Yarrowia lipolytica: one gene and its partners. The protein of the gene in region 1 purifies or fractionates together with the protein of each later gene. This does not show direct contact. Links are inferred from orthologs where the notes say so. Each region holds a gene or a part of one and is shown in the gene's direction. Other genes may lie near its edges. The genes, in order: YALI1_B16584g, YALI1_D12483g, YALI1_F34928g and YALI1_C02831g.

Region 1 (4,675 bases):
CTCTTACTGCGCTTTTCACGGCATCAAAAAAATTCAGGAGTCCTTTTTGCCCCATTTTCCTACCCATAAGACTTAGTGTCATCAGGTCCCGACTGACTGGCTCTTGCACCGTGCACTCTCAATGCACTTTTACTTTCACTTCTCTTCTCACTCTTCTACCCCACACACCACACATCAGAATGTCCACCAAAAGATAACTAACCAGCGATAAAAACGGCCACACCGCTCAGTGTGTGCTGCCCAAAGTGAGTCTACAACCCCCGTGTGTTTTCGTCCCCTCTCCACCATTCTCTGATGTAACTGGAACCTGGCAATTTTACCTACAAAGGTGGCCAAATCGGAGCGAGAAAAAGTACCGCAAAAGTGATGGAATTCCTGCTTGCTTTGACATGGCAGAGTCCCCACAATCCGGTGGACTTGGCTTTGTGCCAATTCGCACCGCTGGCGTCTCCTTGGGGTACTGTCTGGGGGTCCCGGTATGGGCACCCGGTCAGTGTGGCGCTGAGGGACTCACGTTTCGGTCACGAGCACCTCTTCGACTCCACAGTGGCCCCGAGACACTCAGTACGACGCACTCCTGAGGTCCTGTGCCCGACTGGCCCATTTCCGACCTCTTGACTTCCACCTGATCAACCCACCACACTGGCGCTATTTCCACCCATCCTCAGAACGCTGGCCGAATTGGGAGCGCCGGGTTAGGGCTTTGGGTTTGACGAGGGGACTACGAGTATGAGTATGGGATGCCAAACTGCCAGATAATATCTGGGATTTTGGTGTGTGCTGGGAGTTTCGTTAGAGTTTGTTCGTTGGGAGGAAGTAAAAGCCTATTCTGGGTCGGGAAACCAAACACACCACACCCCCCTTGCAACTCTTTGTGGAGGCTGCTGTCAATCAACATTACACACACACACACACACGAGACACACGGCACACTGTGCACGACATAACACAACACAACACCGACGACGGCAACGACACCAAGTGGGCACCACACAACAACATCGTTACCGACATCTGAGAAAGACGACTTGCACAGACAACGACCCACTGAGCATTGAAATCTCACCCGCGGCGAACTATTTGATTTTATTTGCGCCAACAGCCTTGTTACGAACCAGCTGACTGACGTTCGATTGCGACACGTAACCCCCTTCGGTGGCAAATTAACCCCCTCTTTTTGGCTTTACGACCAGCTCTCCTGTGCTTAGACTCGGGCAGGTTCTGACGTAACAAGTCCCAACAATCATATACCCTAGCCCTAGATTTCCTATTGCGGGGTAAGAGTTGTCCCAGTGGCAACAACGGGCCAATAAGGAGCGGCGACGAAATGTGCAAATTTTTCTAGGCGGATTATCACCAGAAATTATCGACGAGACTGCGAGGAGGAGGAGTGGAGCGGACGAAAAAACGACAGCAAGCAAGAGCAGACACTACTGTAAGACACCGGCCCTGACCAGACCTCTTTTCAGCGCTCTTTTTGCCCCCATTTTCGGCCTACTTTCCCTGCTCTTTTATTTTTAAAACTTCGCAGACACCGTGACACGCGCATTTTTTTACAGGGGAGGATTAACAGGGCGACACTAAAAAAAGACATCACCAACAACACACACAGCAACCACGCTTAAAGCGTTCCCATACGACTCCACCAAGAATGGCCAAGGCAGCCAAGGCGGCCGGTTCGTCGGCACGCTTCCGCCAGCGGAAAATCAGCGTCAAGCAGACGCTGGCGGTACTCAAGCAGTCTGACATCCCAGACCTTGAGGAGGAGCAGCAGCGCGAGCTGCAACAGATTGAGACGGGAGTGGAGAAGGGCGAGGAGGAGGAGCACCATCTGCAGGCGGCCATCAACTCATCGATAGCCCAGAGCACCGGCGCAAAGGTGGAGAAAATCTACATTCCCACCCCAGATGCGTCGCAGGTGTGGAAGGAGTATGACCGGTTCTACTCTTCGTCGTTTCATGAGCCCGCCAGTTACATCCGGACGAGTGTGACGGTCGAAGAGACCTCCGGATGTCTCTACAACATGGATGATGAAGATGCAGAGTTTCTCAAGACGTGCAAGCCGCCAATATCGGAAGACGACTTCGAGGAGGTGATGCACAGATTCGAGGTGACCATCAGCGAAAAACAACCGTTTGTGTCCATCGACGTGTCGAACCTTCTGTCGTTTGAGGAGATGGCCCAGCACATTGAAGATGGTATTCGGCAGGTTCAGGAGGACCCAACGTCGCCGGAATACATTTTGGCGCAGTTGCAGTCTTCTCTAGGCATCACTGTGAATGGTACTAAGGGTAAGAATGAGGGTAAGGCGTTTCTGGCAACGTTCAAGAAGATCGGCGCTGTCATCTATCCACACTGGCGAGCACGCAAGGTGGAACGCAAAGGCCAGTCCATTGTGCCCCACCTAAAATTTGAGGATCATGAGAAGGACGACAGTGACCCATATGTGTGTTTCCGACGCCGAGAGTTGCGGCAGGTGCGAAAGACTCGTCGTACGGACGTGTTGAGCATCGAGCGACTACGGCGCATGCAGGCAGAGATGGAAACCGCCAAGCAGCTGGTGGAGATGGTTGCCACGCGAGAATTTACTCGCAAGGCTGCTCTCAAGGCTGAATGGGATGTGTTCGAGGACAGATGCGCCATCAAGACTCTCAAGCGAGAGTTGGGCATCAAAGGTGAGGATGAGGATCTGGTGGCTCAAAAGAAGCGAAAGGTGGAGCCCAAGAAGGAGGAAAAAGCGGAGAAGGCATCTACTCCTGTTCGAGGAGGCAAGGCCGCTGGCTCTGCTGCTTCTGCCCAGGCCGCTGCTGCACAGGCTGCTGCTGCAGGCTCGGGTTCGCCTTCCGTGTCTTCCACACATGTGCCACCAAATGTGTCCATTCCACCGTCCAAGATCCCCAACATGGACCTCATCACTATTGCCCAAGTTGTGCGAGACAAGGACGAGGCGATTGCAAAGGCGGTGCGCGAGAAGCTACGACTTCGAGCAGATGCAGACCGCGACTGGCACAATCTCACAAACTCGGGCTACATTCCTTACTGCGAGTACTTGAACGCTGAGGTATCTTCTTCTGGTGAGCCTCCTGTGCCTCAGTACTCGTCTATCAATGAGATGGCTTACTTTGAGAAGCACAACGCCAGCCACCGGTACACCACCAAGAGCGACTTCAACAAGGATCTCGCCAGTATGGTTGGCAACAAGCCCTTTGCAGATGCTCAGGTGTATGGTGCTATTGTGGGAGATGATGGGGAGTTGCGATTATCAGATGCAACATCTACTTCGTCACCTGTGGACCGTGTTATTCCCCGGTCTTCTTTTATGTCCATGCGAAAGCGTGTTGGTCGAGGAGGACGGATGTGGATGGACCGGCGAGGCCTGCAGCGCAACACTGTGCTCAAGCCCAGCAGTCTGGCCAAAAACTCCCTGGACGACACTGCCGAGAGTGAGGCAGACGAGGTTGCCATGGAGCGACTGGCAGACCGGCAAAAGTACGATCGAGAGACAGAGCCGACGCGGCAAATGTCCAGCTACGACAAGGACCCGTCTCAGCTGAATGGCATTTCGTCGGACACACAGTCAATTCGGTTTGGCTCCATGCTGCTGTCCAAGGCCTACGAGAACTACCGCGAGGTGTTCCAGCAGCGCCAGCAGCAGTTGATGATGCTACAGCAGCAGATTCTTCAGCAGCAGCAACAGCAACAGATGCGAAACCGGCAACAATCTCACCCCCCGGGCGACCCAGGGGCCGGTCTAGGAGGTGGTCAAGGAGCCGGAGGAGGAGCTGGCGGCAGTCGCAACAACAGTCCTGCTCCCGGTACTAATGGCCCTCAGTCCAAGATGCACAATGCCGCTCCCATGGGCTACAACAAGCAAGGTATGACGCCCAGCCAACATCAACAATATCAACAGATGCAGCAACAACAACAGCAGCAGCAACAGCAGCAACAACAGCGTAAAATGGGAGTCGCTCCTATGAATGCAGCTTCCGCGGCTGCAGCGATGGCCGCTCAACCTCGGCGATCTAGTGGCAGTCCTGATGGTCAACGATTCAACGGACTGCCCAACGGAGGGGCCATGGCCAATGGGGTTCTTCCGAATGGCATGAGTCAGCGGATGATGCCTGGAGGAGACATGAAGCAGAAATCTGAGTTGGCAAAGGTGGATGCGTAAAGAGAAGACTGTATATAGTAATGATGATTTATGAGCACCCATGGTGTATTCTTATTTGATATTGTAGTGGATTTACTGGTGAGGCGAGCATGTGCTGTATCACTGTATGCACATGTCCTGGAGATTTGGTTTCATTGTACTTGTATTTCGACCGGGGAGCATTGTGTTTGAAGTTAGGGGGGGGTTTTATTGTATTGTGGCAGCTGCTGATAACGACGACATTTGTAATCTGTCAACTTTGTTATCAATCTGCACTGTGACTGCAATATGACAGACGTGCAGGGCAAGCTTTGTGTTGATGTCACTCACTCTGGTTTGAATTTGATTGAAGAGATATCGAAAAACGCATATCTGAGCCGACTTGATTTGGCGATTCGTTTTATGTATTGAACTATAGAGACCGCTAATTATGAGCCAAGATGCTTGTTTCAGATTCCACCCTGCCTTGATTTGGGGCTATTTTGGCAAGGGTAGAGTGGTCGTACAAGTACTTGTACTCGTAGT
Region 2 (3,612 bases), on another chromosome or scaffold:
GGCCGTAGAACGGAACCATGCAGTGGGCTGCGTCGCCTACGAGCAGACACTCGCCCTTGTGATTATAAGGAGAGCACTTAAGGGACACCAGGGGGGACCGGGGGTTGTTTTCGTACGACTCCAGAATCTGAGACTCGCCCATCAGCTCGTATGCGTCTGGGAACTGCTCCTTGAAGAAGGAAATGAAGGTGTTTTGGGATTCACACACCTGTTCCATGAGCGCCGGGGGAGCAAACAGCGTAGATGTGAACGAGCCATCACCGTTGGCCAGTGCAATGAGCATGTATTTGTGTCGGGGCCAAATGTGCAGGTGGTTGGGCGAGATGGAAAACGGATCGGGTCCGTCGGCCTTGGGGATCTTGAGTTCCAGGTAGACACAGTCAATGTACTGCTGGGCGTAGTTCATTCGGACGTATCGCTGGAGTCGATCTCTGGTCTTGCTGAAGGCTCCATCTGCTCCAATAATGTAGTCACTTTCCACGACCCTCTCTTCGCCCTCCTTGGTCTCAAAAGTCGATGTCGGTCGCTGGTACTTTTTGTCCTTTCGGCTGAGCGAAATGTTGGTTAGTTTGTGCTCGGGGAAGAAGGTGATGTTGGCGTTATCTTCAATCACGTCCAGCATGGTTCGGTTGAGCTGGGCTCGGTCAATCGAGTTGATACACTCGCCCCATAGGCCGTAAGCCTGAGCATGTTGTCCTCCCTGGAGATCGTGGATCATACGACCGTACATGGGGATAATGTCGGCCAGCACTCGCTCGGCCATCTTGGTGTCGACAGATCTGAGTGCCTCGATGCCTCGAGCAGACACAGCCAGGTTAATGGATCGCAACGAGGCGTTTTTGAGCTCCGCCTCGGACCGGAGATCAGGACGAGCATCGTAAAGCGCCACCTTGTGGCCGCGATCTGCGAATGCCAGAGCCGCCAGACAGCCCACAAGACCCGCTCCTACCACTGTGACTTCGTGCATGCTGAAAAAAGATATTTTAGGCGCCTTTTCAGGTTAGATGGTCGGGGTGTATCGCCTTACCAACGGTTGGGAGTACTACTACAGTAACCAAGTGGGGTCATGCGTGCGGCGTAGTCTTTCATATTGGTGGCACGACACTCGTAGTCACGATTGGAAAAAAGTATCGTAGGCGATGGGTGGATTTATATAGTTGCTAATGATGTTAAAAATATGTCTCTATGCAATTGGTCCCTTAAACCCGCCCCGCAAGTTTTCGCTGGTTGTGATGCTCAGTTGACAATCTACCAACCGTCTTTTTTTAGGATTTTTAGAAAAGGTTGTTTTTTACTTGGGATTAGTTGAAGAAAAAAGTCGGCTGGGGGTTCAAATTCGAGGTTCCAGTTATACGAGAGTTACAAGAGTCAAATAAAAACATGTAACCAAAGAGTCTCTTTCAAATGACATAAAAAAAACCTTGTAGCCATATAGAAATATTGCAAGATATCTTGGTTTATGTAAATTATTTAGGTTATCATTTACTTGGGTTTAGTTAAGCGTTTGAATGACTTTTGAGCAGTGTAGGGAACCACTCAGAGCCCTCAAAAAGAGGATAGAAGATCTCAGGGGGCTGTTTAAGCTACTATAACCAGCTCAACCGACAATCTCAATACACAACAAAAGCTCCAGGTAGCCATTGCGCCAATACACAGCAACACAGTAGCGCATGTTTTTCACTCTTCCACAACCCTGACACACAGATTAGGAGTATCGAAACGGCGTATACAAACTAATATTTGCTGAAAACACACTCATCCACCGGGTAAAAAAAACGTTCTCGTTTCTTTTCTCACGCCATACACTCTCAACCTCACCTTCTTCCTCCTCTCGTTGTATTTTTCACGCGTACTTGCGCTACTAACTCGCCAACTCTATATCACCACTTTAGGACGCTCCTCCTACTTCACCACCAACCCACATACACACAATCTCCGCAATCATGGTTCTAGCCACCAATTCGCGGTGCCTGGCGTACCATGGTCCGCTGCTCTACGAAGCAAAGATCCTCATGTCTTACGACCCCTCCAAACGCGGCTCTAAGGCCAAGGTGGAGGACGGGCTTCCGCCCACGGTTGAGATCGGAAACGTGGTCAACACTCACAAGCGCAAGCGGGGTCCTCGCGCCTCTCTTCCTGCTGCGGGCGCAACGCCCGATGGAGACGACTCCAACGACAAAAACCGACACTTTAGTCCAAAGGAAGGGAAACCTGACGTGCCCGCAGATCTGGCCGACGAAAACGAGGACAAAATCTGCTACTACGTGCACTACAAGGGCTGGAAAAACACGTGGGACGAGTGGGTCGGCGAGGAGCGGGTACTGGCTCTCAACGAGGACAACATCAAGCTACAGAAGGAGCTCAAGGCTGCGGCTCTAGCAGCGGCCAAGAAGGGCAAGGATTTTGACGCCCTGGCTCCTCCCGAGGCGCTCAGTGAAACGGCCTCTCCGGCACCAACCACAAAGCGCAAATCCATGGCATCAAAGGACTCTCCTGCTGAGGGACCCCGTCCCGTGAAACGACGAGGGGGACTCGCTGCCCTGGAGGACCTCGAGAAGGAAGACGACTATCTAAAACGCAAGGAAATTGCGCTTGTTGTGCCCGACAAGCTCAAGGCCCAGCTGGTAGACGACTGGGAGTTTGTCACCAAGGACCACCAGCTTGTCGGCTTGCCCCGGAAGGTGACGGTGGTGGACATTCTCAAGGAATTCAAAAAGGAGGCGGAGGCCAAATATAGACCTGGCTCTGCCGACGCCGATATTCTCAACGAGGTGGTGTCGGGAATCAAGCTCTACTTTGATCGCTCGCTGGGCTCAATCTTGCTCTACAGATTCGAGCGAGAGCAGTACCTACAAATCACCCAGAGCCCAGACCACTCCAACAAGACCATGAGCGAAGTCTACGGCGCGGAGCATCTGCTGCGGCTGTTTGTGTCGCTCCCGGGGCTCATTGCTATGACCAACATGGATGCCCAAAGCGTGGCGGTGCTCAAGGAGCACTTGGAGGACTTTGTGCGGTTTCTGTCGACCCACCAGAAAACGTACTTTTTGAAGGAGGCTTACACAAATGCTTCGCCCGCATACGAGGCTCTGTCCAAGGGTCTTTAGGGTTAGAAACGAAGAGCGAGGCAAAGAGTCGCGCAGCGATTCCCTCCGAGCTGGCCTACCGACAACATCATCTGTCATAGGCCGTTGGTCGGTGGTGATTAATCACGTTTGACCATATAGCTAGCTAACTACTCAATACATGTATAACAGTGGGTGTAACGGTGTAAAGTGCTACAATGACACAAGTTTGCGAAAGGAATCGTTTTGTTTATTCAATAAATACAGAAAAGCGCTTAGAAAAAGACTATATATATAAAAAGAGAGGTGCAGGCGTGAATGTCAAAAAAGTTGAAATCTAGTTTGGTTTAAGCCGTCAAACCAAAGTCGAAATCAAGATCGAGCTCGGGAAGCATGTTTCTAGACTCCCGGGAAGGTCGTCGGACATGCGAGCCTTCAGGCCGGGGTCCAGAGGGTACCCGCTTCTTGATTTGCAAGGGGGGGATGAAAGAAGAGCTCACACTAGTCTCATAAGTGGCAGGACGGGCCTCAGGAATGCAAGCTTTGA
Region 3 (3,719 bases), on another chromosome or scaffold:
GCCCAGATGACCGGCGACACCGGCGTTAACAGGAACCAGAGAGGACTTTCGTAGCTCAGGCTCGAGCAGCTTGAATCGAATGGTAAGCTGGGCAGGGGTAAGAACTCCCTCGGTCTGAGCGACCTCGGGAATAGAGTCCAGAGCGGCCTGCAGCAGAGGATCGTCACCAGCAGCCCGTCGGATGGACTCGACGTAAGGGCCGAGGGCCACGGGCTCGGAACCCTTGAGAGCACCGGTGAGCTTAGCGATGGCAAGATGCAGAGCTGCGGTTCGGCCGGAGGCGTCAACGGCCTGCTCGGTCTTGAGAGCCAGGTCCTGCAGCTGGGTGAGGGAAGTCTGGAGGTCCTTGAGCTTGGAGAGACGGCCCTCTCGCTCGGTTTCGACTCGCTCGGCAATCTCCTGGGCGTACTGCTTTTGTCGCTCGGCCTCGACGGCCTGAATCAGGTTGTTGGCGTGAGAAGAAACAAGGGACTTGGTGGCCTCAATCTCGACTCGGAGACGGTCGTGGTAGACCTTCTCAGAGTGGGCTCGCAGAGCGGCAAACTCGTTTCGCAGCTGCTGCTCGGCGGCAGACACCTTAGACGAGATTTCCTCGCCGGTGGAAGCCTTGAGCTTGGCCAGCTCGCTGTTGAGCTTGTTGATGGAGTTCTTAGCTTCCTCGGCGGCCTCAGACTTGATCTGGGCCACGTTGTGCTGCAGCTGGTCGACCACGGTGGAGACCTTGGCGGAGAGCTGCTTGGCGGCACCAGAGGGGGCCACGGCGATCAGATCATTGAAGGTCTGGACGGCGGCCTTGACGGCGGGGTCAGAGTCGTTAGCCAGTCGCACAGCGGGCACGGTGGTGTTGTCAGTCTTGGGGGAACCACTAGAGACAGGGGAGGCGGTGGCAGCAGGAGCGGGGGAAGCGACGTCCTTGGCCACGTTGGCAGCGGGAGAAGATGCAGACTTGGCAGAAGTAGCAGCATCGGTGGAGTCGACCGCTCGCCAGGTAGCACCGGACTTGGGCACTCGGACGGTGGACTGGTCAACGTCATGCTTGGAGGTGGGAGTCGCGATCTTGAGTCGGCCGGATCGCAGCTGCTGCTCCTCAATGTAGTTGATGGCGTGCTCGGCCGCGGGCACGTACTCGACAAACAGGCTCTGGAACTGGTCGTTCTGAAGGGAGTAATAAACACCTCCGGCAAAGGCGCCGGCGCCGACAAAGGTGGAGAGCAGCACAAAGTTTCGGAACTTGTGAGTCTTCTTCTTCTGCTTGGAGGCTCCCTCAAAGGTGGCTCCGGGAGGCTTGCCCGAGGCAGCAGAGGCGCCATTGGCTGTTCCAACAGTGGAGCCGGTAGCGGGCTTGGCGGCCTGCTGGAGCCGAGAGGCGGTGCTCAGCATGCGACGCTGCACAATTGACCGGTGCATGGCTGTAGCTCTGATCATTGTGTGTTTGGTCGAGGTTTTTTTCTGTTCAGTACAGACCTTGTGTGGTGAGGAACAGCAATAGCAAGGGTGGCTTTTGATTGGGTGCAGGTGCCCTTACCCTGTTGGGAGGTTTGTCTAGGTGCCTGGGATGGAGGACAATGTTTTGTCACTGTCAAGACGGGATATTGTGGGGATTTGAGAAATATATTTGATCAGCCGGTCTCGAAGATTATATTCGCGCTTTCGCCTTTGAAATTGCTCCTTTTGTTGCCGTTTCGAACTGTAGTCTCGTGCTACTGAGTCTCATGTTAATTTTTGTTTCGGCCTCGACTTAATTAACTCTAACCAATGTTATTTTCGTGCATTAACGAAACTCGAACGCACGATCAGTCACACTCTCCACCATCAAATATCACGTACAGACTGGTACCCCATACATACTACCATCTGAAGACGACACACCACCCATCATGACTACAACAGCTCCAGCCCCCCAGGTGTATGGAGGCGATGAGGTGGCGACCCTGGTGATCGACACCGGGTCGTCGTACACTCGAGTCGGATACGCCGGAGAAGATACCCCCAAACTGGTGGTTTCCACAGAGTGTGGACTGATGGCAGACGAGGATGTCGAGATGGAGGACGATACAAGCAACACAACCAAAAAATTAAACAAGTACAAGGTTGGCGACTCCGCCAATCTGCCACTGCCCAACATGGAGGTGCTTCATCCTCTTACCGACGGGATTGTGGCTGATTGGGACGCGGTGCAGAATATTTGGGAATACTCGCTGGCTCGACTCAATGCCGACACAAAGACACACCCATTGATGCTGACGGAGCCGTGCTGGAACACGCAGGCCAACAAGCTCAAGGCGCTTGAAATCGCGTTCGAGAGCCTCGAGGTCCCGGCATCGTACTTGGTCAAGGACGCTGTGGCTTCTGCGTTTGCTGCAGGAAAGGGAAACGCACTGGTACTGGATGTAGGATCTGAAGTGGCTTCTGTGACACCTGTCATTGATGGATTGGTGCTTTACAAGCCCGCGCGACGGTCACAGTACGCTGGAGACTATTTGGATAGACAGATTAAAAAGGTGCTTGTTTCACGAGGAATCGATCTCACTCCTCGGTTCGAGATTAAGAACAAGAAGGCTGTGGAGATGGGTGAGCCACCTGTGTTCACCAAGCGGGAGCTTCCCAACGTCACTCATTCCTTCACTGATCTGCAGGTGTCTCGTATTCTCTCTGAGTTCAAGGACTCCATGTGTCAGGTGAACGATGTTCCCCTGACTCCAGAAATCTCTGGTGAAGCCGCCGACCGGGTCTTCGAGTTCCCCACGGGCTACAGCACAACTTTCGGAGCAGACCGTCTGTCTACTTCTGAGAGCTTATTCAAGCCCAGTGAGTACCCTTTTGACGGAGAGACTGTGCCAGATACTGCGCGGGGACTCAGTGAGATGGTGGTGGACACAATCAACGCTTCCAACGTGGATGTGAGGGCTCACCTGGCTAACAACATTGTTATCACTGGTGGAGGGTCGCTGGTTCAGGGTCTCAGTGATAGAGTCAGTAAGGACGTGACCCAGGCCCTGAGTGGTCTTAAGGTCCGAGTTGCTGCTGCTTCCAACCAGGAGGAGCGACGACACGGTGCTTGGATTGGCGGTTCTGTTTTGGGCAGCCTGGGATCGTTCCATCAGCTGTGGGTCAGCAAACAGGAGTGGCAGGAGAAGGGAGGAGACTATTTGGTCGAAAAGAAGCGGTTCAAGTAAAGGACTAGAACTAAGATTGTATAGATGGAATGTATTATTTAATGGCAATAAGTTCTTGTCACAGTCGGTATTCTATAGGTACATCCTGTACATACTGTACTTACACTTGTACACTATGTACATACTGTACATGCGTACAATACCTTGTAGTACGCAGCAGTGGCTACTTTTACTTTCTTCATGATTAATCATACAGTATGTACTGTAATATCTACAACTAGAGATACATGTTTACTGCTTGTACGATGGTATCGTACAACCGCCCCGTTCTTCCTCAGCTCGCTATAAGTAAATTGTTCACATTACGAAAACTGAACGGTCCATTCATCCTCGTTCAGTGCAGATAATAATAAATATGCTATTCCTATTTGCAGTTATCTCAATGCTTAATCCCATGATCAGTTCAAAAACTTCCAGTTGCGCTCCTCCATACCCTTCATGACATGCTCGACAAGCTTCTGACGTCGGGACTTGAGGTACGAGCACTTGTCCAGAAAGTTGACCTTGGCTCCCGGAATCCTGTCCCACTTGTACTCAAACAGC
Region 4 (5,030 bases), on another chromosome or scaffold:
CATGTATCAATGCCTAGTTCTCTTCATGAGTATAGTTACATTTAGTTGACATTAATGGAGATAATACCCTCCTGAATGGGGAAAATCATCCAACAGCATGACGACAGCTTTCACACCTTTCCTTTCATCTTCTAATCGAATTTCCCGTTAAAATCTTCCACTTGAAACACGTGTTTTTTGTTTTGTTTTATTCTAGTCCTTCTGCTGTCGTTGATACAACATTCTCTCCTCTCCCCAACAAAAACAACCCCCAGAGGCATCAGATCAACATTTATCGAGGTTTTTGTATGTGTGAATGTATATAGAGCCCTCTGCAACTTTCCACAATCAGTCCCCTCGCCCATTACGCCCTGTAAGGCCAGAAAAATGAATGGGGGAAAAAAAGCCAGATTTCACTGTAGCTGGGTCCAAACAGAAAAAAATTATAATATCACTGATGTGGTGGCTCAATGGTAGAGCTTTCGACTCCAGTCAACTTGGTTGTAATCGAAGGGTTGCAGGTTCAATTCCTGTCCATGTCAAGTTCTAACAGAACTGACAGTGGAGGAACATATGGGGGTTTAATTCCCCTAGCTTCTAGCTGATCAGTGATTTTTTTGAATTCCACACAGCGAGAACGGGTCTATTTTTTTCCTTCCAGGGTATTCCTCCAATGCTTTACTGGTTTTTATCTCCTAGATATCTCGCCTTTTGCTCATGCGGCTCGGAAATTGTGCCCTCAAAAATGAGTCGGAATATGAGAGCTGATCCGACCGTGTATAGACCAGAATGTAGATGAAAAGTGTATGAAAATGTCTGAGTGGAAACCACAAAACAACTGAATTCCCAACATTCTGCTGCCATACAATCTGATTACGTAACAGAGACTTATCTAAGGGTGCAGTATACAAGTTCACCTTCATCTTCCAAACACACATCGCTCATCTATCTCCTCATCCACAGCTTCTATAGTAAATCCGACAATCACAATTGATTCAGCGGAGCGGGTTTGATCACCTCATCAAGTCATCAAGTCCTGTTCCCATCTTCTGTCATATCCTGCTTCCCCATCTCCTATCCAGCCCTGCTCAACCTCCACTGACCTCAACTCCGTCAAAAAACACCCCAGATTCTCAAAAAAACACCCTCACAACTTCAAAAACTCGAGTGGAACCTTATAATCAACTCCCCTTTCCATTATCCCACTTTTTCCGTTTTTTTATGTCGCCCCAAAACCCGTCTTTCACATCTACCCTGCATCCTCCTCCGGAACAAAACAGTCCGATATAGTGTAGGGGCTATCACATCACGCTCTCAAGTCGAGAACCGTGGAGACCGGGGTTCGATTCCCCGTATCGGAGTGTGCTAGACGCAAGTAAGTAAGCGTCACCTCTCTTTTTCCCTCCCCACCCTCACTACGGCATTTTGGTAGGACGTGCTTACTAAGCGCCAGACAATTGGTACACGCTTACTAAGAGATGCCTTCTCTCGTCTAAATGTTCGAAACCTTATGTACGATTACATAAGCAAATTTCACAAACGGGGTTCCCACATTTTTGTCAGATTCCAGACGTTGCCATTATCAGCCAAAATTCTTGATTTTTACCTTCAAATTTGGTATCGGGGAGGAGCTCAAGATACGCTGATTCCATAAATCCACTCAGATTTTCAATCCACCCAATATTTGGTCCTTAACGAGGGTGATCACTTTTCTCATAGAAAAATTAAACTTTCCCAGCCACTGACCAGAAGGGAAAGCTAAACACGAAATTGGAGACGGGCATTCGGATGTGTTGCTGACGAGCTATTGAAAATCTCAATATACAGATCGACTCGAAATCGCTTATATCACGGGAAAATCTTTTCAATTTTGAAAAAACCGCCCCCCACTCGCCATTTATCGGTTTTCAACCCTATACACGCTTACGTAAGGAAATTTCACAAGGTGCATGTCCCAGTTGGTGTTCACGAACATTTCGGTAGTCTCTTTTGCTCCACACATCACATTTCCACATCGTTTTTGAGCCCGTCACAGCCCAAAATGCGCGACGCTTCAACCCAGGCGCAAGTTGATGCGTTCCACAGCCGTCTGAGCGATGATTCCGGTGAGTATTGAGCAGGTGAAGAGGCGGAGAGGTGTGAGACACCCAGTGATGGAACTCGACAAAATGCGAAGGAGACGTCTGAGTGACAAAAGAGGTGGATAGGGTGAATAACACGATGGAGACGAGCCAGGATCACGTTTTTTTGAGCTCATTCGACGGTTTTTGGGCGAAATGGATGTGGTGTTGTGATGGTCAGTGAGAATTGTCTGTAGAGACGCTGGCATAACACCAGTGGTCGACACTATGGGCTCTGCTACTTTTGAAAGGCTGGCATAACAGTGTTCCTCACCACGGACTCTGCCACTTTTACTGTAGCACTTCATATTCGTCCGTTCCAGCGTCCATTCGCCCATGCATGCTACACTGTCTGTCATATCGTCCTTCACCGGTCTAAATCGTTCGGTTTGGCATTCTCGTCGCTACATATCGCCATCATCTCGAGAGCAACATATCGTCGCTCTGCCCTTTCATCCATTCGCTCTTGGAGCTCCATTGAACTCCGCTAACCCAGACCTAAAATCAAAAGTAGTCGCTGCGTCAGAACTCCGAGATGCCGTTGATTCATTTCAATCTTCCCCCGCAGACTACGAATACTATCTGCAGAAGATGATGCCGGTATACACCAAAATCTTGGAGTCCACCCCCGTGTCTTTCACGAGTATTTCCGTCGAGCAAGTGAGTACGATAGAATCATTCTAGAGGAATGGCAAGAGAAAAACCTGATAAATGCAGACGACACACGAGATACAACAATCACCTCTCATCTCACTCGGTTCCTGGTTCAATCTCAGAGATGAGGAGTGACTAATATGGACTGGAGGATACTGTCACAGTTGTTGCTGCTGTTGATGAATGACATCTGCCACTATGGCTCTCAGTATGTCTGCCTTTCTTCACTTAGTCACTCACCCCACCTCCCGTACTAACTCAGAAACTCCGATCATCGATCCTCGAAATACTCCTTCGTCTACAAACCAACGATCTCCTCAAACCCTACTCCTCCGCTCTGTTGGAGCAAATCATGTCCATCCTCCGTACCGACAACGAAGAAAACGGAGTGACATGTATGAAAATCCTCACGGCCCTGCACAAGGGCTACAAGGCGCACCTGGGCGGCGACCACGTGACCCAGTTCCTTGAGCTCGTCACCGACCTCTACAAGAACATCCCCTCGGTCGTCAAGGACACGTTTGGCGTCAACCAGACCGGCTCCTCAAACTTCCAGTCCCCCATGTCGCCGTCTCTAGTCTCTGACGGAGACGTGAGCGTCGCCACACCTGGCGGAGCAGCTTCTCGCCCCCTGGCCAAGTCGTTGTTCTCATTCAAGGTGCTCATTGAGTGCCCCATCATTGTGGTACTGCTCTTCTCCACCCACAGAGCCATGGTGCCCACACTCTTGCCTCAGTTCCTGCCTCACGTGATTGAGATGCTGAGAATTCAAGCCCCTCCCCAGGCCGAGGCCCATGCCCAGGCCGAGGCTCGTGGCGATATCCTGACGACCATCTCGCCCCAGATCCGCAACCGCGCGGCTTACGGCGACTTCATCACCTGCCAGGTCAAGACCATGTCGTTTCTGGCATACGCGCTGCGAGGCTTCCCGCCGTTTCTGCAGGAATATCACGTGATCATTCCCGATCTCGTGGTGCGTCTTCTTCAGGACTGCCCCTGCGAGCTTTCCGCCGCTCGAAAGGAGCTCCTGGTCGCCGCTCGACACATTACGTCGACGGATATAAGGACCATGTTCATCCCCAAAATTGACATTCTGCTGGAGGAGCGGGTGTTGATTGGTGATGGTCTGACAGTCAGAGAAACGCTCAAGCCGCTGGCATACTCTATCATGGCGGATCTCATTCACCACGTGCGCAGCGAATTGACGCTCCAGCAAATCTGGAAGACTGTCAAGGTGTACTGCGCCAATATGCTGGACGCGTCGCTGGCCAACTCGTTCCAGATTATGAGTGCCAAGCTGCTCCTGAACCTTGTGGACCCGATCATGAAGCTGCAGGATCGCAACGAGGGCCGTCAGACCATGGTATTGATTCTGAATGCCTTCACAGAGCTCTTCGGTGCCCTCAACAGAACATATCCCAATGTCATGAGGGGCCACGAGCGGTGGCTGAAAGAGCAGGCTGAGAAGAAGGCTGAAGGTGGAGACAAACCCATTGCTGAAGTCAAGCCCGAGGAGGACATCCAGGTTGACGTGAAGCTGGGAACCTCTGCTGAGTCATCTGGGCTCAAACGCAAGGCCGAGGACCTAGAAGTCGACGAGGTCGAGTCCAACGATGTCGTCCCGCAGAAGCCCCGGATCGAATCCGAGTACGACTTTGACTACTTTGAGATCCAGGCGTCGTCGCTGATCAAGATTCACCCTACTCCCACGACGGATCCCCTCGAGGACGCCCGTTACTTGTTCAAGAACCTCATGAACTTCCTCAAAACGGTCATGTTTGGCCTCAAGTCGTGCAACCCACCATGTCCAATTGCCGACATTAGCGAGGCTGTGTGGAACGAGTCCGCCCGACTGTTCAACTTTGAGCAAATTACTATCTTCCGCAAGCTGTTTGAGGAGGGCATCAAGGGTCATCTGTTTTTCGCCTCTCACGTGACCGACAAGACCGCTACGGTCGCCAACAACGACCTCGGTGCCCCCTCGCTGCCTGTGGTCAGTTCCAAAGCCGAGAAGGATCTCATGGAGACATTTGTGACCGTGTTCATTCACATTGACTCGGCGTCGTTCAACGAGATCATCGAGAGCGAGCTCCCCTTTCTCTACGACGCCATGTTCTCCAATTCTGCACTGCTTCACATCCCCCAATTCTTCATGGCTTCCGAAGCTACTTCTGCCAACTTCTCTTCGTTGCTGATTTCGTTTCTGAAGGAGAAGCTCCCTGAGCTCGGAGACGGAAACATTCAAAAATCAAACATTCTGATCCGGCTCTTCAAGCT

The links.
Region 2: the proteins of YALI1_B16584g (region 1) and YALI1_D12483g purify together in Saccharomyces cerevisiae (affinity purification with western blotting; 14 studies listed by BioGRID, with this or other methods). This does not show direct contact. The link is inferred for Yarrowia lipolytica from reciprocal best matches to the Saccharomyces cerevisiae genes EPL1 and EAF3.
Region 3: the proteins of YALI1_B16584g (region 1) and YALI1_F34928g purify together in Saccharomyces cerevisiae (affinity purification with western blotting; 18 studies listed by BioGRID, with this or other methods). This does not show direct contact. The link is inferred for Yarrowia lipolytica from reciprocal best matches to the Saccharomyces cerevisiae genes EPL1 and ARP4.
Region 4: the proteins of YALI1_B16584g (region 1) and YALI1_C02831g purify together in Saccharomyces cerevisiae (affinity purification with mass spectrometry; 15 studies listed by BioGRID, with this or other methods). This does not show direct contact. The link is inferred for Yarrowia lipolytica from reciprocal best matches to the Saccharomyces cerevisiae genes EPL1 and TRA1.

The regions. Positions count from the first base shown.
Region 1 is NC_090771.1:1,656,764-1,661,438, forward strand, and holds YALI1_B16584g (uncharacterized protein), read left to right. Parts: upstream 1-1,651; coding exon 1,652-4,171; downstream 4,172-4,675. Other genes in the region: YALI1_B16566g (uncharacterized protein), read right to left, coding at 1-82; YALI1_B16572g (uncharacterized protein), read right to left, coding at 175-509, 562-604; YALI1_B16578g (uncharacterized protein), read right to left, coding at 722-1,122, 1,169-1,430, 1,499-1,594.
Region 2 is NC_090773.1:1,246,690-1,250,301, reverse strand, and holds YALI1_D12483g (uncharacterized protein), read left to right. Parts: upstream 1-1,943; coding exon 1,944-3,107; downstream 3,108-3,612. Other genes in the region: YALI1_D12493g (uncharacterized protein), read right to left, coding at 1-967; YALI1_D12447g (uncharacterized protein), read right to left, coding at 3,413-3,612. UniProt on the Saccharomyces cerevisiae protein: Component of the NuA4 histone acetyltransferase complex which is involved in transcriptional activation of selected genes principally by acetylation of nucleosomal histone H4 and H2A. The NuA4 complex is also involved in DNA repair.
Region 3 is NC_090775.1:3,491,011-3,494,729, reverse strand, and holds YALI1_F34928g (uncharacterized protein), read left to right. Parts: upstream 1-1,877; coding exon 1,878-3,176; downstream 3,177-3,719. Other genes in the region: YALI1_F34933g (uncharacterized protein), read right to left, coding at 1-1,425; YALI1_F34895g (uncharacterized protein), read right to left, coding at 3,575-3,719. UniProt on the Saccharomyces cerevisiae protein: Chromatin interaction component of the NuA4 histone acetyltransferase complex which is involved in transcriptional activation of selected genes principally by acetylation of nucleosomal histone H4 and H2A. The NuA4 complex is also involved in DNA repair.
Region 4 is NC_090772.1:281,165-286,194, reverse strand, and holds the start of YALI1_C02831g (uncharacterized protein), read left to right. Parts: upstream 1-2,020; coding exon 2,021-2,084; intron 2,085-2,595; coding exon 2,596-2,759; intron 2,760-3,015; coding exon 3,016-5,030. UniProt on the Saccharomyces cerevisiae protein: Essential scaffold subunit of the transcription coactivator SAGA complex. SAGA acts as a general cofactor required for essentially all RNA polymerase II transcription.